Linked DNA regions of Astyanax mexicanus. The protein of the gene in region 1 purifies or fractionates together with the protein of each later gene. This does not show direct contact. Links are inferred from orthologs where the notes say so. Each region holds a gene or a part of one and is shown on either strand. Other genes may lie near its edges.

Region 1 (7,789 bases):
AGAAATAGCAGAACATGCTTCCTGTGTGATTCCATGCAAATCTAATGTGCCACAACCACAACTAGGACATATGCTAAGTCCGATATTACAGGCGCAATAAAACCAGCCCTGGTTTCACGTGAACTGGCACCGTTTTCAAATCACACTGCCTGCATCACATTCTGTATAACACAGCCCATCATAGCATGAATACTCAAATTTAGATACGTACCTTCCGGGCGATGGGTTCCTGGCCATCGGTCAGACCGTACCAGCTCACTAGCTTATTCCAGCCCTCAGTGGGCACGAGGATGTAGTCCAACTCGTCGATAAGATGCTCTTTAATGGCAAGTACATCGCCATCTAAGAACAAAATGCAAAGATAAGCACTGATCAATTGTGTGGCTAAGAGCTCATGTTTTATAGTATATGGACGATGTTTCCTAAAACACCACCATCATTCTGGATCAATAAATAATAAAGCTTATTTATGATCGCTCATTTTTAAGGTAACACTTTCAACAAAAAAAAAATTGGTTTACTAATATGAAACAGTTAATAACCTTTAAGGAGACCCGAGTTGTCCACCGGTCCGGGGTAGACATTCTGATCCCCCATCTGATACTTGTCCCAGCTGTCAAAGCCCACATATTTCTTCCACTGCTTGAACCAGTGACTGTCTATTAAGTACCTGAGATAAACCAGGGATAGGAATGGTTACAATTAGGTAAACCAATTATAGCATTTGCAATCATGTTCACACACCAGACAGATAGACAGTTAACTAAATAGCTATGCAGACAGACAGTCAGTTGTACAAATAGAAAAACAGCTAGAGAGGGAGCAAGATCTGTATTTGGCTAGAAGGCTAGATCCAGATTTATCTAGACAGACACTTATATGGAGACATATACAGCTCTGGAAATAATTATAAGACCACTTCAGTTTCTGAATCAGTTTCTCTGAGTTTGCTATTTATAGGTTAATGTTTGAGTAAAATGAACATTGTTGTTTCATTCTATAAACTACGAACAATATTTCTCCCAAATTCCAAATAAAAATATTGTCATTCAGAGCATTTATTTGCAGAAAATGAGAAAGATGCCGAACTTTCAGACCTCACATCATGCAAATAACACAAATATTTATATTCCTAGAGTTTTTTTATGCATATTTGCTTGTTCTCCTCCACCAGTCTTACACATTGCTTTTGGATAACTTTAAGTGTCTCTTATTTTTTTTCCAGCGCTTTATAGCTAAGTAGTCCAATAACTAGATAAAGACCTAGCATCTAAGTAGATAAACAGCAAAACAGACCTAGATAGCTGAGTATATAGACAACTAGACAACAAACAATGCAGGCAGGTAGATAGACAGCTGGACAAAAAGCTATATATATATATATATATATATATATATATATATATATAGGTAGACAGCAAAATCTAGATATCGTGATACAGAGATAGATAAATAAGCACTGCATAAAAAAGTAAATACACACCCAGACAAAGAGCTAGACAGCTAGATGGAGGGCTAGAGAGCTAGGCAGATACACAATCTGAGCATGGGATTCCAGAGCCAATCAGCCTAAACGCATTTCAAATGCTTAGCTGCAGAGGAAATTCAGCAGACACAATTTATCAATTTGACGTCAAAAAGACGTTGGACTCTAACATCAGGCTTCAAAGACTTCAAAAACCAAACATTTTACTGGTTAGAAATCAAATTTACATATCTGTCAAAAACCTACATTGGATTGACATAAAGCTTCAACATCAGACAGATGTTTTGTTCAAAACGAAAATCTGTTTAATGATTAAATTCTGGTTGGAAATCACATATCCAACAAAAACATCTTAACAGTAGTGGCTGAATTCTGATTACTGATCACCACTGCAATGTCTTTCCACCTTTCCACCTTAGTATTTCACTTTTTGTGGATATTAACATTATGAGTGTTATATTTTTTTGTTTTTTGTTGTTTCTTTGTCTAAATCCTAAATATAGGTATGTTGTGTCAATTTGATAGACAGCAGGTTTACATTACGTCCCAACATTAGACAGACGTTAAATTAAGTTTCCATACCAGCTGGCCCCAAATTACACGTTTTTTTTGCTTTAATGACTTAAATCTGAATGTTGGTATGATATGTCAATATGATGTTGGTACCTGACGTTTTAAAGACGTTGGACTTTGGTCAAAAACCAATGATAGGCAAATGCTGAATAACATCAACGTAAATCTATCTTAGAACCTCACGTTTTGTAGACAGTACCATGATTACATGTTGTTCATGTGTTACAACAAAATGGTGGTATGTTATGTTGACGTGACATTGGCATGTGAAGTTTGGAAGACGTTTAATTTAGGTAACTTTGACAAGTACTTAACACCACAACACCAATACATCCTCTAGGTTAATATACTCTAGCAATGTCAAATGACTTTGGCATTAGACGTTGCCCTGCATTTTGGTCGCCCGACGTCTCGACCTACATTTAACCAGATAGCTAACACAACGTCTTCAGATGTTTGGGGGCAGCTGGGAAGCTAAATGACAGGTGCTCCTCGCGTCTCGTCTCGTCTCCGCCCTGAATGGCCCCGTTAGCGAGTGCCAGCTAACTCCAGACCCACAGAGGAGCGCGTTGGGTCGGCCGGCTCTCAGCCCCCGGAACCGGGCAGGCTGTGGAGGTGCTGGGGGTCTGCGGTTTTGCTGAATAACCCTCACACAGCCCGCTGTCGGTCTCCGCTTTCCAGCTAACTGCTAACGGCTAACGGTGACTAGCTGTCAACACGGCTCCTCCGCGCTGCTGCCCGTTCCGCTCAGCGGCGGCTAGGCGCGGCAGCGGCAGGGCCGGAGGCGCGGAAGGTCGGCGGTCAGCTCTCACCACGTCTCCCCTCTCCGGAGCTGCGTCTTGAGCAGCGCTGTGATCTCTCCTCTCTGAGTGTCCAGATCAGCCGCTCCTCCCTCAGCCATCTTTCCTTGGGCATCGCCCGCTGCATTGTGGGATAGTAAAGTGGGGGGAGCGACTGTGACGCCAGGCTGAGGTTTAGCCAATCAGAGGTTAGCGTAGGTTTTGACGAACAGGAGAGTTCAGCCAATCAAAGGATTAAGACATGCAGAGACGACTGACCTATGGAAATGTTGATCCAATCATTTGCGTGAATTCACACGGGTTTAGCCAATCAGCGGATTCAGGAATGAGAGACTGATGGAAATGTTGAACCAATCATCTGCGTGTATTCTTCTTGACAGACAGATGCGTTTGACACAAGCAGGCTCTGGACACAAGATATGAATTTAGCCAATCAGAGGCTTGAGCAGTAACGGACTGATGGAAATGGTTAACCAATTGGTTGCGTTTAAATAAAAAACTTTTATTTTTATGACGGTAATGTAAATTTGTAAATTAAATGTAGTTATTTATTAATTCATTCATACCCCTGTATTTATTTGTTTGCTTATTTATGTTTGTTCTTTTTTATTTGCTTCTTTGTTTAATTATTTGTTGTTTGTTTGACAGAGACAGGGTTCACTAATTATCAAAAATCTGACAAATAAAAGATGTAACCAATCACCTGCGTGCATCCTTCTAGAGAGACATACATTTAGCCAATCAGTGGCTTAAACTGCCTGGCCAGCACAGAGCTTACAACAGCAAACCACAGGCACTAAACCCTAAACCATATTATTTCCATTAATAGCTGACATGTGTTCCCTTTGAAGTTCCTTTGCTTCTGCAGCGCCCTCTCAGGTTCAACTGAGCTAAAGGTGAGGATGATGTGCCTGTGCACTTTGGTATGCAGACACATCACAATATACAATCAGTTAATCAATAATACAGCCCCCTCCTGCTGACGTCCAATCATCTGCGTCTCACTGCTATCAGAGCTACTTTGCTCAGCCCAATCAGCTCTCCCTTCTGCCCTAACCTAAACCCATACATCACCCAGTGCCCCTCCGAAACTCAGTGGGACACAAGGACGAGGCTCCGTAAGGCGTGGTGAGGTTTCAAAACCCCCACATCTGACAGGTGGCAGGTCCAGACAACTGCTGTCACTCTGAACTGCGGCATGTGACCTGATCTCTTGAAGATTCTCCTTATGAAGATAAATGGGAACATGAGTAGTCTTCTCACAACAGACACTGCATTCAGTTTATAGAACTGCATCTTCGTTCATGCCACAGAAACTCACCTTTGACTATTACAGGTAGACAGAACTTACCTGCACAGGGTAAATCCTGGGGTAAAATGTTAGAGGTATATGGCACTTCAAATAGAGATTTTCAGAGGCACACATTAAAAAAGGTGGCAGAGAATTACTGGCAAGATGGCAGCACAAACGAACAAAGAAACCCACAAAGTATTTTTCTTGGTAAAAAATTTACAATAACTACTAGTTATATTAACATAGTTTAATGTTAAAGTTTCAATACTTTGTAGCTATATTCTTCATAAAAAAAATAAAAAAAACAAATAAAAAAAACAATAAGCAGTTTGTCTTAGTTTCTAGCTACCTTTCCCGTAACACCTTAAATGGTGCAACAGACTGCAGTGGCTGCAGCATTTAAGGTGGATCGGAAAAACGAAATAAAAGCTAAAAAAATATAATTTCAGCTTCCCATCACAGAGGAATTGGGCAATGGGCAATAACAATTAGTTGTTGCCCCACCTGCCCCCTTCCTGAAGACCTACAATGACCTAAAATTACCTAGTTAACCTTGTTCTAAAGGGATGGGTTACACTTAAAATCAATGGGTAGGGGTACAAAAGAGAAATGGGACTGAGCCAAATTTAAAAGCTTCTGTGCTTGGCAAGTTAAAAAAAAACTGTTCGGAATTTGTAAAACCACACTAAATTATTATTTCCTGTAGGTTTATGAATATTTAGGGTTCAAGCACCGAAGGTGCGTAGAACCCTATTGTTTTTGCTAAGATTTTTCTTCTTATTATTATTAGGGTTCAAGCACCGAAGGTGCGTAGAACCCTATTGTTTTTGCTAAGATTTTTCTTATTATTATTATTATTATTCTTTTTCTCCTGTAAAAACAGTTGTGCAGCCTAAACCGTAAGTCATAGAGAAATGAAACTTTGTAGGTAGATGTAGGATCAGTGCATCTCGGTGGACAACAAAAATGGCACCGATTGGTCAAGTGGTGGCGCTATAAACAAGGAAATTCATTTTTCACAATTTTCTCAATAACTCAAAAACCATAAGACCTACATTCAAAATTCTTTTTTTGATGGATTCCTTGGGTCAATACCAACAACTTTCCAATTTGGACCATGCACTTCCGTCTATATAGATTTTGTGCTAATTTGCATAATATGCAAAACCTACTTTTGCAAACTAGTCCTAGGAATTTTGACCAATCCTGGCATGTTTGGTATCAAAACACTCGTGAGAGCATGCGCTTCAATATTCATTAAGAAAAAGTTGAAATATGTAAACAATATGGCCGCCATATGCAAATTAGTCCTTCCGGATATATGCCCCATTCACTTCAAGAGGTAAATTTGGAGCACTGTTTCTCAGCAACCGTGCAACCTAGCAAGTTGAAACTTTGCATGCAGAATCTATCATACAGCCTCTAAAGGATGTTCAAAGGGCAACTTAATCAATCAACATGGCTGAACACCATCAGCCAATCAGCATTCAGCAGAAATTTTGGCAGGCTGAATGTTGCCCAATCTGGATGATATTTGGCAGTTATGTTCAGGTGGAGACACTGTAGTGACCTGCAAAGTGCTGAAACAATCCGCCCACTGGGGGGCGCTGTTCCAAAAAAACGAGTATATGTCAATCATGCTGTACTATTTTGACATCTAATTGTTTTTGCCATATTTAGTACAGTGGCTCTGACAAATTTCTCAATACAACTATGTTTAAAAAGTGCTTTGTTCATTCATAATTGCTAATTGTTTGAAAATAGCTATATTGAAACTACTCTCTGGATATTTGGCCTATCACCTCCATTTCAGTCTTGCTGCACACTGTAGAGTCTCTAGGTAAATGTTCATTAAAAACATTTGTGAAAATTTCACATACAATACTCTCCAGGCATCAAGCAATCTGTGCGTCCTTGGAATTTCTAACCTAAATTGCTGTAACTCTGCAGTATTTGCTGTAATCTCACAATGTTAAAGACCTCTGTACAATATCACTCTGATGAAGCGCCATTTAATACAGAACTAGATTAAGAATAACTTGACATTACATGTCATATCAGAACATTCACTCCTTTGTGCCTCTTCTCAACATTAATAACAGGTGAAAGACTTTTGATCATTTTAAATGTGACAGAATGTCTCCAATTGTGTTAGACCTTCTTACACATCACCATCCTATGCTCTAGTAGGCACCATTGTGCTAGTTGGTGCTTGAACCCGATGATTGCCGCTTGCGGCTATATTTATTATTATTCTTTTTCTCCTGAAAAAACAGTTGTGCAGCCTAAACCGTAAGTCATAGAGAAATGAAACTTGGTAGGTAGATGTAGGATCAGTGCATCTCGGTGCACAACAAAAATGGCACTGATTGGTCAAGTGGTGGCGCTATAAACAAGGAAATTCATTTTTCACAATTTTCTCAATAACTCAAAAACCATAAGACCTACATTCAAAATTATTTTTTGCTGGATTCCTTGGGTCAATACCAACAACTTTCCAATTTGGACCATGCACTTCCGTCTATATAGATTTTTTGCTAATTTGCATAATATGCAAAACCTACTTTTGCAAACTAGTCCTAGGAATTTTGACCAATCCTGGCATGTTTGGTATCAAAACACTCGTGAGAGCATGCGCTTCAATATTCATTAAGAAAAAGTTGAAATATGTAAACAATATGGCCGCCATATGCAAATTAGTCCTTCCGGATATATGCCCCATTCACTTCAAGAGGTAAATTTGGAGCACTGTTTCTCAGCAACCGTGCAACCTAGCAAGTTGAAACTTTGCATGCAGAATCTATCATACAGCCTCTAAAGGATGTTCAAAGGGCAACTTAATCAATCAACATGGCTGAACACCATCAGCCAATCAGCATTCAGCAGACATTTTGGCAGGCTGAATGTTGCCCAATCTGGATGATATTTGGCAGTTATGTTCAGGTGGAGACACTGTAGTGACCTGCAAAGTGCTGAAACAATCCGCCCACTGGGGGGCGCTGTTCCAAAAAAACGAGTATATGTCAATCATGCTGTACTATTTTGACATCTAATTGTTTTTGCCATATTTAGTACAGTGGCTCTGACAAATTTCTCAATACAACTATGTTTAAAAAGTGCTTTGTTCATTCATAATTGCTAATTGTTTGAAAATAGCTATATTGAAACTACTCTCTGGATATTTGGCCTATCACCTCCATTTCAGTCTTGCTGCACACTGTAGAGTCTCTAGGTAAATGTTCATTAAAAACATTTGTGAAAATTTCACATACAATACTCTCCAGGCATCAAGCAATCTGTGCGTCCTTGGAATTTCTAACCTAAATTGCTGTAACTCTGCAGTATTTGCTGTAATCTCACAATGTTAAAGACCTCTGTACAATATCACTCTGATGAAGCGCCATTTAATACAGAACTAGATTAAGAATAACTTGACATTACATGTCATATCAGAACATTCACTCCTTTGTGCCTCTGCTCAACATTAATAACAGGTGAAAGACTTTTGATCATTTCTAAATGTGACAGAATGTCTCCAATTGTGTTAGACCTTCTTACACATCACCATCCTATGCTCTAGTAGGCACCATTGTGCTAGTTGGTGCTTGATGAAGCGCCATTTAATTCAGAACTAGA
Region 2 (7,252 bases), on another chromosome or scaffold:
GAATATACAATTCAGAGAGACCAATTGTTTTGTTCACAAAGAAAAAAAAATTGGATTTTAGCAGAAGGAGACCTTTAATCAAAAGTGTGTGTTGGAACAACTTACTTGTCTTTAATTAAAAAACACACTGACCTTGTCCTTGTCCATGATTATTTCAGACACAGGGCCGAACTGCTCAAAATACTCAGCGAGCTCCGTCCTGGATGTAGTCGGTTTAATGCCGCTGACATAGATGCTGCTCTCCACCTGAGCATCCCTCTTGCTCCGCAGCCTGCAGAGGTGCTGGTGCTTCTTTCCTTTCAAATGTGCTTCCAGACTCGGCCCTGGTTAAAAAACATGGGACTAATTAGTCATTCAGAGCTTGGTGTAGTTAAATGGTACACAACACTTTATAGAAAATGACACTGATATTTTCCTAGCATGTGAAAAATGTCATTTACGCCATCATTTTGTATCGTTTGGATTACTGTAATGGACTATAAAGCAGTGTCAAAAAACGAGGATATTTTGAAGTTTACAGTGAGTCCTAATTGCAGCTGGCTCTCAGGCCCTAAGAAAATAGAGCACATCCCCCTCATTTAAGCCCTCATTTATTTGTTAAATACAAGGTACTATTCCTGCCAATATCTCAGAACAACCAATATTCTCATTTCTCGTCCGAAGTCTCAGAGCTAACTCGTGTTTCTTTTCTTACTGTAGTAAAAAAGGGACATGACTGTACATATTACAGCATTAAAATCCTAATGCAACATAAATGGCACAACAACAATATTAAAACTATAAATAATAAATCATGACAGAACTACTTATATGGAATGTGAAACAGTTTATTAAAGCATCTGATTTGTTAAAAAGATGGCAACAGAGCTGTAAAAGCAAAAAATAAATAAATAAATAAAAAAAATACACTTTTACGAGCAATTTATCTCCAGCACTAAACCACCACACCTACACCTGTCACTTAGGGACTGCTTAAGTTAAAGTTATGGCAAGAGAGCTGTAAGGAATTTTACAGACATGTATAAAGTACTAGAGACCAAGATTTGATTAAAACTACAAGTACTCTATAAAACAGTAACTTGAGTAGAAGTTGACGTGTTCTTTTAGCACCACAAGTGGAAGTACTAAAGTTGAACAAATGATTGTAAGGAGATTATTTTAGGATGTAGTACTAAAGTACTAAAAAGTAAAAGTACAATACTGTGTTATATAGTTATTACAGAAAGCAGTGGTAAGGTCTCAGCGTGAAAAGCAGAATGGGAGCAGGGAGGTCTTTTTATAAGATCAGCTTGATCGCTTGAATCACTTAACTGATAATCAAGAGCATGTACCGCTCTGGCTTTAAGGATAATGTGATTTTGGAATGATTAACATTTTTATTACTGTAAAAATAATGATAGAGCACATAAAAAATGATCAGAATTAAAGTATTAAACTCATGTATAGGGCTCTGGGTGATCCAGCAGGCTAAGCGCAGCAACTATGATCAGGAGATCGCCAGTTTGAATTCTGTTCATGTAGCTTGCCATTGGCTCCCTGAAAGAGCACAATTGGCCTTGCTCTCTCTGAGTGGGTAGATGGTGCTCTCTCCCCACATCACTCCAGAGGGTGATGTCTATTTATAAAAAGCTAAACATCTAGCAAGCTAGCTCATCATTGAACAATGTGTATAATAGGTTTAAAAATAAAGAAAACTTAATAAAATAAAACAAAACAAAACAAAAAAACCCCTGAAATTTATGTTAAAGTTATTTTAGGAAGTGACATGCCTATTTAAAAAGCAACAGAAGTTGTTCATTAGTTAGAGTTTATTTGTAACATTTCTAACAAATTTAGGGTGTTTTTTATTAACTTTTTTCTCTCCCAAACGTTAACCCTTCACAGCTTCAAAAACAGGTATTATGCAAATTAGGCGATGACCTCATTTAGCGACTTCTAACGACTTTTAGTAAAGCCAATAGCTACTTTCCTTACTGAGGAGTTGGCAACACTAGGCACATGCTCGTCTTCACCCTCCTGGTGTTGGGGCATCACTAGTGAAAGGGGAGTCCTAATGAGTGGGTTGGGTTATTGGTCGTGTAAATTGGGGAAAAAATTAGAAAGAAAAAAAAAAAAGTACAAAATGTAGTGAAGTAAAAGTGGAATTAGGAGAAGAATAATATTCCAGTAGATACAGCATTTTGAAAATTAAGTACAGTAGTGAAAGAGGTTTTTAAAGCTTTTAAAGGGTCTGTAACTCTTAGATCACCATGTTGGTCTGGTAACGTTATATGCAATAAGTTACATTTCTGTAAGAGAGCTTTCACCACCATTGTTAACAATAAGCTGTGGAGCATTTCACAATAAATTCTTAATGAATAAATGAATGAATGAATACTCTGTGAATGAAGTTTGATCACCTATTAATTAACCATTTATCTAGCTAATAATGCAGCAACCGAGCTCACAGAAAGACTTTGTTTTAATATGAGCCTAAATTTTACTCGGGTTCTTATGCGAAGGCAAACAAAAAAAAATGCCTACAGCTGAAACAGAAACTTACTTAACTAAGAAACTTCTAGAACAGTAAGCTAAGCTAATGGGCTCAGACAACACATTTAATTTTAACATTTAATTAAAAATGTATACACTGATAAACCTTTAACCCCAGCTTTTCTCAGCTCTTCACTTTAGACTCGTGAGAAATAGTTAGGTTAGCTAGTTTTAGATGCAGGTCTGTGGTTAGTTTTAGTCAGCGTGCTCAGAGAACGCATACATTAGCAGCGCTAAGCTAAGCTAAGTTGCGCTAATTTATCTGTATTTCTCTCCCCCGGACTCACGGTTAGGGGTGTGAATGCTGCACAGTTTGCAGTAGAAGCCCCTCGGCGTGGTCCTGATGTCTTCACTCGTCTCCATCCTGCTGGAAACGCTGCTGCTCGAGAGTGAGGAATGCTAAGCTAAGCTAAGCACAAGTTAAATCTCCCTCCACAGAGCGAGGCTCGGTCCCGCAGCATTAAACAACACCGGAAACTTCAACCACCGCCTTTCAGTTCCCCCCTACTAAGTTAACGTTACTGCTTCAGCGGACCTGCCACCAGACCTGCCTAAGATTTACGATTTATTTTTTTAAATCTAAAAATAAATACATACAAACGTAAGTAAATTATTTAATAAAAGTAATATGGTTATAAAAAATAAATAATAAGAATTAATATAAAATATAAATAAATATTGAAATAATTTAATAGAGGAATATATAAAATGCAGAAATGAAAAGAATAACGTCTACAAATACAAATACTCTAGTTGCTGTATTTATTTCTTTATACAATTAATGTATGAATGTATCCATTTATTACTGATTTTATACCAATTTTTTCTTAGTTAATTTCTGAAGTTATATATTTATTTATTTATAATTTTGGTAGTTTTGGTCCTTCATACTCAGCACCACCAGAGATTTAGGATAATTTCTTTAAATTTGACCATATCGATGTAATAAATAATTTTGAATTATTCAAAAATGTTTGTAAAAGTCTCATATTGTATAATAGGTGGCTCAACATAGTAATGGAAAATATATATTTAAGGCATTTTAAATGAACTTGAGTCAAAAACATTAAAAACATCAGTGTAAATAGCAAACAATGCACTTATGCATAAACCATGGGGCCTTCCAGATTTTATTACACTTATATTAATGGGTATTAAAATATAAATAACAGAATCCGTGTGAGACTGGCTAAATTATATTTATATTAGGGGTGTTAATCATTTAAAATTATACTAATCACCACAATATTCTGTGATAATTCATAATTAAAATAATTTCTTTTTTGTTTAATGGTGCCTGTACTTTTGGGAGAGGAGCAGTGATAATGTAGTATGGTCAAACTTTCAGGATATATTTAAAGCTTTTAAAATAAGTTACTGTGTTGAGTGACTGAGTTTAACTTAGAACTTTATTAGAAGAAAAACACTATTGTGGCTCCATATTCCAGACATGCCATCAGCTGTGTGCGTATGTGAGACATAAGAAATAAATACCCCACAAGTATTGCAATTAAATATATGAAAATGATTTAGCACCAATAAAAGACATTCAGACCTCAAGAACCTTTACCAAATTTTTACCAAACAAAACATTTTAATAAACAAGACCAACACTGAGGGATTGAGATGGATTTTATTGATGTAAACCTTGTTCTCCAAAGATTAAATCAAAAGATTAAGATGCATTAAGACATTTTTAAGAGTAAAGTTTGGTGACAATTCGGAAGAACAATTGTTTACTAACCCACAAATTGTTTATTTTTTCTTTTAACAAACACCGGACACAACCTAAAACCTATAGCATAGAATATGGTCACTTTGAATCATCAAGCAAAAGTAGAAAAACAGCAAGGTTTTACTGACCAAAAAGGGCATACATTTTCCAGTCCTTTAAACCCTAAAAAATGAATATTTTGAAAAATTATATTCACGTCTTTTTAAAAACAATAAAACACTGTTTAACAATAAAAACATATTAATGAACAAAGAGAGAGTGCTATCATAATTGATGGGTCCTGATATATAAAAAACTGATTCTTGCTTTTGAATATTTACAACTGATCAACACCAGCAGATCATTTTCTCCTTGTTCGCCGCACAGGAGCTGAAGAAACCTCAATCTCAGTTTTCTTCTGGACTCTGGCTCCTCGTCGACTGGAGGTTTCTGTGTTTAAAATAAATAAAGAAATAAATACAGAAAATTCACCTGGTTATGCTGGGCATATTCTGATACTACAATTAGTGAATGAAGAAAAAAAAAATAACAAAGTTACAGCCTAGTTGTTTTAAAACTGTTTAAACTTGTGTAAACCTTATCCTTTTTAAATATAATCAAAACAGATGAGAAGGCTATATAAATCAATGTATCAATCATATTTAATAGTTGATTTAATCTTCAATACAGGGCAATTGCTGACTGCACAATCCATACAAAATATTCAAATTACATCTTGGCTTAAAAGAAAGGTAAAAGTACCCAATTTAGGAACGCAATTAAAATGTTTAAAATCTGATTGAGTATAAATTCAAAAGTGAAGGAGAAGGTGGTTTTATACAAGATAACTAGAATGAGACCTGAGCGCATGAATAAAACTTAAAACTGTTGAAAGTAATAGTTTCTCACCTGAGACGGGCTCTTCAGATGTTGCAGAGATGGAATCTACTTCCTGAGCTGCCTTTCGTTTGCCCCTTACAGGTTTGTTGTCAGAATTTTTTGATGCAGATTCACTTTGTTCCTTTTCAACCTCAGGGGTTTCTTCTATGGCCTCCTTAGCAGCTGCCCTTCTTCCTCTGCCAACTACAGCCACTTCTTTCTGAGCTTCAGCACCATCAGCTTGGCCTTTCCTTCTCTTGGACAATGACTCCAGTGTGGTTGCTTCATCAGAAACATCAAGCTCTTTTCTTTTGCTTCCCCTTTTAAGAACAGCTGCCACTTCATCTTGCTTGGAGTCTAATGAAGCGCCTGCTCTTCCTCTCCTGACCGCTGGCACATTTTCTACAGGAGCTGGCTCAGACTTTTCTGCAGGTTGTTCTTCTGGCTTTTTAACCATTCTACCTTTGCGGCCTTTGGCTGGCGGTTCTGCAGACTGCTTGGTGTCAGAGACGGGTACATCATCAGTAGAAGCCTTAGCTGCAGGTTCAGCTTTCTTTCTGGAGGACTTCTGCTGAGGCACATCTTCAGCTGCTGGAGGCTCCACGGTCTCAATGTTCTTTGAGGCCACCAGATCAGAATTCCAACTGACTGCCTTCCTGGAGGCTTTCTTTTTATTTTCCACATCAGCTTCCTCAGTGGCTGAAGTGTCATCTGCTTTGACAGAAGTACCTTTGGCTACAACCTTTCCTTTTTTGGCATATCTCCCTCTTCCTCGCTTAGCTGGTGCCTCGCTGGTCTCAACATCACACACAGTTTCCTCAGAACTTGCTTGGGAAGTTGCAAGGTCATCAGACTTGGGCTCTGGTAGATTACTGGCCTCTTTGACTGGTTCATCAACTGCAGTGGCAACTTCTGAAACTTTTTGCTCAGTTTTTAAAGCAGCTCTTCTGCCACGAGTAGGCTTGCCAACAGGTTTTGGCACTTCAGCAGAAGAAGCAGCAGCACCACGTCGTCCTCTTTTAACTAGACCTTCTGGTTCATCCCTGATAACAGCAGTTCTTTTTCCTCGCACTGATTTATTGACCGGTGCCTCAGTTTGTTTATCAGCATCGTGGTCAACTTCAGAATGATCTTCAACCTTTTCCTGAGCATCTTCTAAAACCTGAGATGATTTTGGCTGCTTTGTCCTCTTTGATCCTCTGACATTTTTCACCACAGTTTCCACATGTTCCTCAGTCTCTGTGACTGCTGGACTTGTTTCTGCAGCAGCTGGTTGGTCATCAGCATCCTCCCTTGGCTGAGCCTTTAGAGGGGCTCTCCTTCCACGTCCTGGCTTCACCACATGCATTTGTGGTAGTTCATCAGCCACCACTAGAGAATCAGAACTTGTAACATCTACCTCCACTGCAGTTGAAGAGGGTTCAGCAGTTTCCTTCTTTGTTGTCCTACCTCTCCGTGTTCTTGCACTAGTTTTAACAACATCAGTTTCGACAGAAGTCTGAAGCTCAACACTCTCTGGTGGAACAGATTCATTCTCAACTGCAGTTTCAGGCACAGTCAGCTCATGTGCAACAGCTAGGACAGGTGGATTCTCCAGGTCCTGTTTAGCTCTTCGTCCTCTTTTAGCTTTGACTGCAGGGATTGGTGACATTAAGGAGACCTCTGGGATCACAGAAGGTTCTGATTCAGCAACAACATCCTTTTCCTCAACTGCAACTTCAGGCACAACTGGTGGATTCTCTAGTTCCTGTTTAGCTCTTCGTCCCCTTTTAGCCTTCACAACAGGGACTGGCGACTTCAAGGAGACCTCTGGAATTGCAGAAGTTTCAGTAGCTTCAGATTCAGCAACAGTATTTACCATTGCAATATCCTTCTCCTCAACAGTAACTTCAGGTGCAGCCAGCTCATGTGACACAGGGATAATTGGTGGATTCTCCAGCTCCTGTTTTGCTCTTCTCCCCCTTTTAACTTTTGCAGCAGAGACCTTGGGCTTTACTAAAGGTTCAGGTGCTGCCAATTCCACAACAACATTTATATTTTCATCTGCATCTTTGGGCAAACTGAGTTCTTGTACTTCTTGTGAGGCAGAAATGACAAGTGGGTTCTCGACTTCAGGCTTAGCTCCTC
Region 3 (7,250 bases), on another chromosome or scaffold:
GGACACTGGGTGAAGAAAGGGGAACAACAGAACCGGGCTGCTCTTTTCCAGAACACCACTAAAATTCTTCTTGTTGGTTTAGAGGACCTTGAGAACTAGATCCATTATTTTCCTGTATCTAACGATACTTCACTATTTTGCATTATAAGTTATAACACAGTTCAGGGACTATAGGCATTCATCCGTCCAGAGGCGCACAAAACAGATTTGTACTATTTATTCATGATTACTGTTTCATTAACAATGAGAGGTGCTTCATTCATTCATTCAATGTTACATGCAAGTAATCTGACCTCACTTTTACTGTTTCACTGTATTATGATCAGGTTGCTCTTGAATGTATGAACAGACCTGTAGCATACTAAGTGTACTGCTTGTGTATAATCTAAAAATATAATATGCAGATTGGGGATGACTAGATTGGGGTTGCTGGCTATTGTAACTCTGTTTACATTCCAACAGACCAGCGGCTATTCTTGGGTGTTATATAATCTTGTTGAATTTAAACACTGTAAGTGTCCTAATGATTGTTACGTGCATTACCAGAGGTTTATTTACTGGCTAATTTGTAAATTACCAGATTGTGGATGACAGGTAACTACTGTATTGTACATCTAGTTTTAGTTTTACTTTGTTTATATCTTAGCTCAGATACATTATTTTACTGCAGCATTTACATCTTTCTGATAAGCAATGTATGGTTGCTTTCCTGATCACTTTCAGAAGATTTATTTTAATATATTTGACCACTTATTCCTTTTCATCTATGATAACCAAACACCATGTTTTTATGACTGAGTACTGTACTGATTGTGACTAAAAAAGCAAATATATTACTATATTATTATTTATGAGTTTGCTGTTGTCTAGTTTTCTTTTCTTTTTTTCTTTTTTTTTTTTACTTGTTTGATAAACCATATAGTTAGTTTTATAAAGCATGTATGTTTAAGGTGTAAAATAGGGCTGCGACAAACAACTATTTTGATAGAATAATCTACTGATGAGTAAAACTATATGTATTTACCTTTTTTTAATGAAAATAACTTATGAAGAAAGAATTTTATTGAAAAATAATTTCCAAATTGAAATACAGCAGTTTGATAAAATACCCAGATGGTGTGAAGTTGATTGGTCACTTCTTAGATCGAATATTAGCCTCCAGCACAGTAAGAGCTGTGTTTAGCTGATCAGTACTTTCCTGAAGCCGTTTTTCTAGCTGAGCTGTCAAGCGCATCACTTCATCCTTTACTTCTTTTTCCACGATTGTCCGGAGCTCTGTTTTTGGGGATGGACCTAATGATAGAAAAATCAAGCGTCTGCTTCTTGAAATTCGTACCATATTCTTATTATACATTTTTGCCCAATACTGTCTCTTATTTTAGGTTAATCCACAGTGTACATAATGCATTACACAGTATATTATGTTATTCTGCTATTCTTTTTACGTGTACAGTGGTGTGAAATTGTTTGCCCACTTTATGATTTTTTTTTTTCTTACAATAATCTCCTGCTATATAAATACCTTGGTGAAGTGTTTCAGTGTCTGTGGTCAGAATTTCTGCTGATGCCGTTTCCTCACTTGTACTGCCTGCCACCTTCCCTGTTTCATTCTCCGCACCTGTAGCATACTCTAAGGTACAGAGATAAATCAGTCTCAAAGCTGACTTCAAAAATCTGAAAGTAAAACAATTGTTATTGTATTGAAATACTGAGTTTACCATCACTGGCTTCTTCCTCTGAAGCAGCTTCCTCAGGCATTCCAGTGTAAGACAATGATAAGTCCAAATACATCTTCACCAGCAGTGAGGGGAGTAAAATGTCCCATCGATTATTAAAATTCTACCATGCCAGAAATTCTGCACATTTTTTAGACTGTAAAAATTAGGATCCCCAACATACCTGTGGTGTAAATATGTACTTGTACAGCTTGTAGTGTCTCATATATGTGTTGGTAAGATATTGAAGAATCTGGGTCAGTTGTTCTGCATCAAAAAGATGGACACTGAAAGGAGGTCTCTAGAGTGTACAAAAAAGCAATGTATTTGAAGTTGATTTTTGAAGATTTTTTTACCCAAAATGTTCAATTAAATGTGTTTACTTTTTTATTACAATAATTATGTACACACTCTGACAGAATGACAAAGTAGAAGTTCACTGCAGTAGGAAAAGCACTGGTCCATGTTGTTGAGGGGGGTTTCTGTCATGTGAGAAAGAAAATATGGTTTCGGGAGAGTTTATAAAAGGACGTATCAGTGTTGAAGTAGTGTCACAAATCTTGACAGTGAGTAGGCCTGTCATGATAAATATTTTTGTTTAGACACTATTGTCTCAGAATTTACTGCAATAAACGATATTATTGTGATTTTAAGACCACTTTATACTACAGATAACTTTTAAATGATCAAAAAATCTTCATATATTAGTAAAAGTTGAAGTAAAACCTGTTAAAATCTCCTAAATAAATAAAACATAAAATAAAATGCTGTTTTTGAAGTTGAGAGTGAGCGCATTCACATTAAAGGGCTTAAACACAGAATACCAGAACTGAGAGCTGAATGTAGTAGTGACCATGCAGCTCGATTATAAAATATCAACTCCATACGCAGACTAAAAATCTAGATAATTTTAAGATAATGTGTCACCTGTGTTCAACTGATGTACATTCTTCACAATGGAGAGAAGAACAGATGTTTGCTCCCGGTTAAAATGTTGCTCCCTGCAAAACCTCACTAAATTTGTGAACATCTCCAGCAGAATTCCCAGTCGTGGCTCGGGCAGATCGAGTTTTAATGCACGACACAGAATTCTGAAAACAATGTGACATAAAAAAATGTTATGTAATTAATGTATTATTTATTAATTACTAAAAATAACCCATAAGAGACCCAGGTCCCTTTCTGTATAATGATGCCAAAAAAAAAAAAATTATCAGATACTTCCAGTAAGCAGCTCTTTCATGTTTTTTCTTATTGTGGGCACATGACCCATGAAATATTTTGAGACTAAAATCCTGATGTGACATAAATAACACAACAATAATTTCTTCTGTTTAAACATTTTGTTCCAGAAATCATATCAATATAAAAATGTAAAATCGAATTGTTTAATTTTAATTGTTTAAAAAAGGAGCTATATCTCCAGCACTAATTCAGAACACCTACATTCTGTAAATAAGATCAAAATGAATTAACACAGAATTAACTGTCCTGTGACGCTTTCAGGATGTTTAGTATATTTTTATTGGCTTTATGAGTTAAACTGAAGGACAGAGCTTTTAAAGGGTCTGTGACACACGTGTCACATCAGGCTCTTTTGGGGAAAAAAAATAAAAATGTAGGCAAACCTTTCTGTGTCTGTTATTGAATCTGCCTTGTCCATTTCCTCCATGTCACTGTAACTCAGGTCTGCCCTGCAGATTCAGCATTAACAACAGTGTTTAACAGCTGCTATTTACAGTAAGTCATTTTTAATTAAAAAGTAATGGTCTATAACTATAACATACCATAACAGGACTCTGGCTTTTGGAATGCATGGCTCCTGAAAACAAGTCACAAAAACAACACTCAAAAACTCATCTCTAATTTCAATTTAATGTTATAATTGCTCTACATATCTTTCCAGAATCTCTCTTATATCATACCAGTGTTTCCTTCTTCATGTTGATCCTTGTAGTTGAAGGATAGACATATTATAAACACAGTAAATTTAAATCCAGCTGTTTACTACAGTGTGTTCGTTCCCTCTAAACAAAAATGTAACGGAGGACTGTCAGTAAATTGCTTTGTGTTGTACTGTATCCTAGCAACAACACCCGGGTCTCTTCCACGACAGAGCAGGGCGGATAAATTTTGTAAAATTAAAAGTACTTAAAAGTTTGTGCTTTAGAACGAAAGCAATATATATATATATATATAAGAAATCAATATTTGGTGAAATAACCCTGGTTTTTAATCACAGTTATAATGCATCTTGGCATGTTCTCCACCACCAGTCTTACACACTGCTTTTGAATAACTGCAAATAAATGCTCTAAATGACTATTTTTATTTGGAATTTGGGAGAAATGTTGTCTGTAGTATAGTATAAAATAACAATGTTCATTTTACTCAAACATATACCTATAAATAGCAAAATCAGAGAAACGGATTCAGAATCTGAAGTGGTCTCTTACTTTTTTGCCAGATAAGTATAGCTAATTTTTCCCCACGTTTGTAGTGACTTTTATTGTGAAGCCAGAAGCTCGCCTCTCTAATATTCCTCCGTATCCGTTTCGCACTGCTACTGCCGTTCCTATCCAGTACGGTTAGCGAAGGTTTGTGTATGTGTTCAGATAAATGTACCATATTCCTTCATATTAATTAAGAAACTGTGAAGTGTGGGTTTGTTCGGAAGGCGCAATCTGAGGTTACATTATTATTCTACAAACTGTGGCTTTAGGTTCAGTGAAAATCCCCTGTATTTACTCATATTTTACGTAGTTGGCTCTTTAGCTAGTTAGCTAACGTTACCTGTCGGAGCTAGCGCTAGCTAATGCTAACTAGCTTAGCTAAATCGTATTAGCTGTAAACACCGGCAGTAACTAATGAATCTACAGTTTTAAATAATATGTTGATTAGAGATAATAGTTGTAGTTTTATCGCTGTATATATGAGCGTAGATTAAACCTGTGCAGCGTGTTGCGATATATGGGCCGCTGTCCCGAGGGTCGGCCCTCTGTAGCAGTTAATACAGCATTAGCAAAGTAAAAAAGAACGATTCAGTTCGGGGTACATTTGTTTATGGTCGATTTAGCTAATCTAGTTTAGTGATTTAAGCTACATTGTCAACAAAACTTTCAGATATTTAAACTAATCTAGCTAGCTAATCTCTTGAGATAATATTAGCCAAGTCTATGTATGTATACACTGTAAACATCATTACACACAACTGCAAATAGAACTTACACCAATTTCCAGACCTGTATAAGTTTTCTGTATAAGTTTTGGAAAAAGTCATGAAAAAATATTTTCCGTTTATTCACTGTTTTGGTTTTAAATTGATTTAAGGTGCTGATTTAAAAAAATAAAATGCTGATTTAATGCTGCCAGGCTCCATTCAGACACATATAACACAGAGTGGTGCAAAACATGCAGAAATGTAATTCAGCTATTTTTTAGGTGAGATATATAGGTCACTATAACCAGTTTTTGCAATGTCTGTACTGATGATCAAAGATCGTATGGTCATTAAAAATGGCCACGAAGGCATTGGTTCAAAAGTTTAGGTACCTTGCTTACATTAGCTACTGCATTTACTTTCAGTTACTTTGATAGCTATGTTTTTGTGTTTTGTTTCAATCTATATTCTCTCTATAATAAAGGAACCATGTCTGGCACGGGGGGCAAGCGTGCCTCAGGAGGGGACAGTCCTCCTGGCCCCCCAGAAAAGAAGATGAAGAAAGAAGAGAAAACTACAACAACCCTCATAGAGCCGATTCGTATTGGAGGGGTTTCCTCAACTGTGAGTTCCTGTTAGACAAAACTTTTTGGGTGTCTTTACAGTGATACTGTAAATGTCAGGCTCCGAACTGAAGCAAAACCCATGTTTACTCTTTTGTATCACTCTGTGCTTTGCAGGAGGAAATGGACATGAAGGTCATTCAGTTTAAGAACAAGAAGTTGTTTGAACGCCTTGAGCAAAGACAAGCTATTGAAGATGAGCTGAGAGAGAAGATTGAGAAGCTGGAAAAAAGACAAGCAACTGATGATACTACACTTCTGATTGTTAACCGCTACTGGACTCAGGTAATACGCACACCTAGTGAGTAAGTGGGACAGTAGAGTATAGTAGTGGGGGGAGCTATAAGTGTGACCCCATGCTTTAGGTGCAGGATTTATCATTAGCCCTGTATTACATTGCTTACTACTCTCTTTGTAATGTATGTGGATGGGTGTCAAAAAACAGTTTCGGGAACATAGAATTAATTTGTGTAAGCAGCTAAATGTTACCGGAAATATAGAATTAATATACTTTTAGATTACATTAGATTATATAGTTGTTTTCCACACCTCTTCTGTTGTGTTTACATTCTTCTGTTGTGTAACATTCAATGAGGTACTGTTATCTTACTGTAAGGAGCATAAATAGTTGGCTCATCTATTGTGAGCATGATACACAATATTTAAAGTGATACTTTTAGATGTAGACAAAGTGCACCAATATCTGCACATTTAAAAGATTTGCTGCAAAAAAAAATAGAAATTAAAAAAAGAAGAGCTTTTAATATAATTTTTGTGCACATATATGTGTTTAAATCTGTTTTGTGTATGTCAATAATGTAATATTAGCTCAGTGTATTTCCTACTGTAGAAACACTGAGTGCAGGGTCGAAAAATAGTGTGAATGGTACGATATTATAGTATTATAAGTACTTTAATGTGCTTTTATTAAATGAATAATTGTAAGACCATGTCTATAATTATTGGATAATGTGTAAAATATATATTTTTTAAATCTTGGATATACCTCTGGGCTGTAATTTCATATAGGATGTGACAATATGATTATAGTATAATTATAATTAACAATATAATTATCTGAGGAAAATGTTTCATCATATTATTGCAAATTACAAACTTTAATTTTTTTATGTACTATGCATACATGTATTTATGAAGAGCAGAGGAAAACCTTAATTCGTTCAATTTGTCTCTTTCTTCATGCAGCTGGATGAAAATGTTCAAGAATTACTGCAACGTGTTGAGCCTAAGGTTACTCCACTGACTGCGAAGACTCCTGCTAGTCCTCCAGCCTCTGCACCTGCCACTGTTCCTGCAACAGCCACCTCACCTGCCCCTGAATTTTCTGCCCCTCTGGTGGAAGGAGAGGATGGACTTCCTCAGCCTCCAGCTCCAGCAGAGGAGGAGGAACAGCAGCAGCAGCCCGAACAGGTACCACAGCCGGAGTCGCAACCGGAACAAGTGAAGAATCAGCCTGATGTGGATGTGAAGCCTCCTGAAGGTCCAGTACAGGATGGAATACCAGGTAACCACACATTTTTTTTTATTTATTTATTTTTAAATATAATGCACGTTATATCAGTATGTGGAATTTCAAACTAACATGCAAACGTTGCCGTGACTGCTGTGCATCAAGGAGTAACTGTACCAATCGTATGTATTTCTAAACACCTTAAGTTTTCTTAAGGCTTTAGACATTTTTGTGTTCTGTACTTAAAAGCAGATGCAAGGGCATTTTTCATTGTATACATT

What was found. Proteins that work in one complex are often made in the same cells at the same time.
Region 2: the proteins of ubiquitin carboxyl-terminal hydrolase 15 (region 1) and tut1 purify together in Homo sapiens (affinity purification with mass spectrometry; 4 studies listed by BioGRID and IntAct, with this or other methods). This does not show direct contact. The link is inferred for Astyanax mexicanus from reciprocal best matches to the Homo sapiens genes USP15 and TUT1.
Region 3: the proteins of ubiquitin carboxyl-terminal hydrolase 15 (region 1) and rnf40 purify together in Homo sapiens (affinity purification with mass spectrometry; 4 studies listed by BioGRID and IntAct, with this or other methods). This does not show direct contact. The link is inferred for Astyanax mexicanus from reciprocal best matches to the Homo sapiens genes USP15 and RNF40.

Annotation. Positions count from the first base shown.
Region 1 is NC_064409.1:16,810,668-16,818,456, reverse strand, and holds the start of ubiquitin carboxyl-terminal hydrolase 15, read right to left. Parts: upstream 3,001-7,789; 5' UTR 2,961-3,000; coding exon 2,872-2,960; intron 671-2,871; coding exon 543-670; intron 343-542; coding exon 212-342; intron 1-211. UniProt on the Homo sapiens protein: Hydrolase that removes conjugated ubiquitin from target proteins and regulates various pathways such as the TGF-beta receptor signaling, NF-kappa-B and RNF41/NRDP1-PRKN pathways.
Region 2 is NC_064422.1:21,759,935-21,767,186, reverse strand, and holds the start of tut1 (speckle targeted PIP5K1A-regulated poly(A) polymerase), read right to left. Parts: upstream 3,011-7,252; 5' UTR 2,896-3,010; coding exon 2,820-2,895; intron 324-2,819; coding exon 133-323; intron 1-132. Other genes in the region: mki67 (proliferation marker protein Ki-67), read right to left, coding at 4,608-4,696, 5,156-7,252. UniProt on the Homo sapiens protein: Poly(A) polymerase that creates the 3'-poly(A) tail of specific pre-mRNAs. Localizes to nuclear speckles together with PIP5K1A and mediates polyadenylation of a select set of mRNAs, such as HMOX1.
Region 3 is NC_064422.1:30,430,443-30,437,692, forward strand, and holds the start of rnf40 (E3 ubiquitin-protein ligase BRE1B), read left to right. Parts: upstream 1-4,240; 5' UTR 4,241-4,312; exon of another isoform or gene 4,313-4,318; intron 4,319-5,359; 5' UTR 5,360-5,364; coding exon 5,365-5,499; intron 5,500-5,615; coding exon 5,616-5,783; intron 5,784-6,704; coding exon 6,705-7,023; intron 7,024-7,250. Other genes in the region: phkg2 (phosphorylase b kinase gamma catalytic chain, liver/testis isoform), read left to right, coding at 1-99; ccdc189 (coiled-coil domain-containing protein 189), read right to left, coding at 1,133-1,293, 1,523-1,630, 1,719-1,791, 1,900-2,016, 2,127-2,197, 2,643-2,806, 3,344-3,409, 3,503-3,537 and 1 more.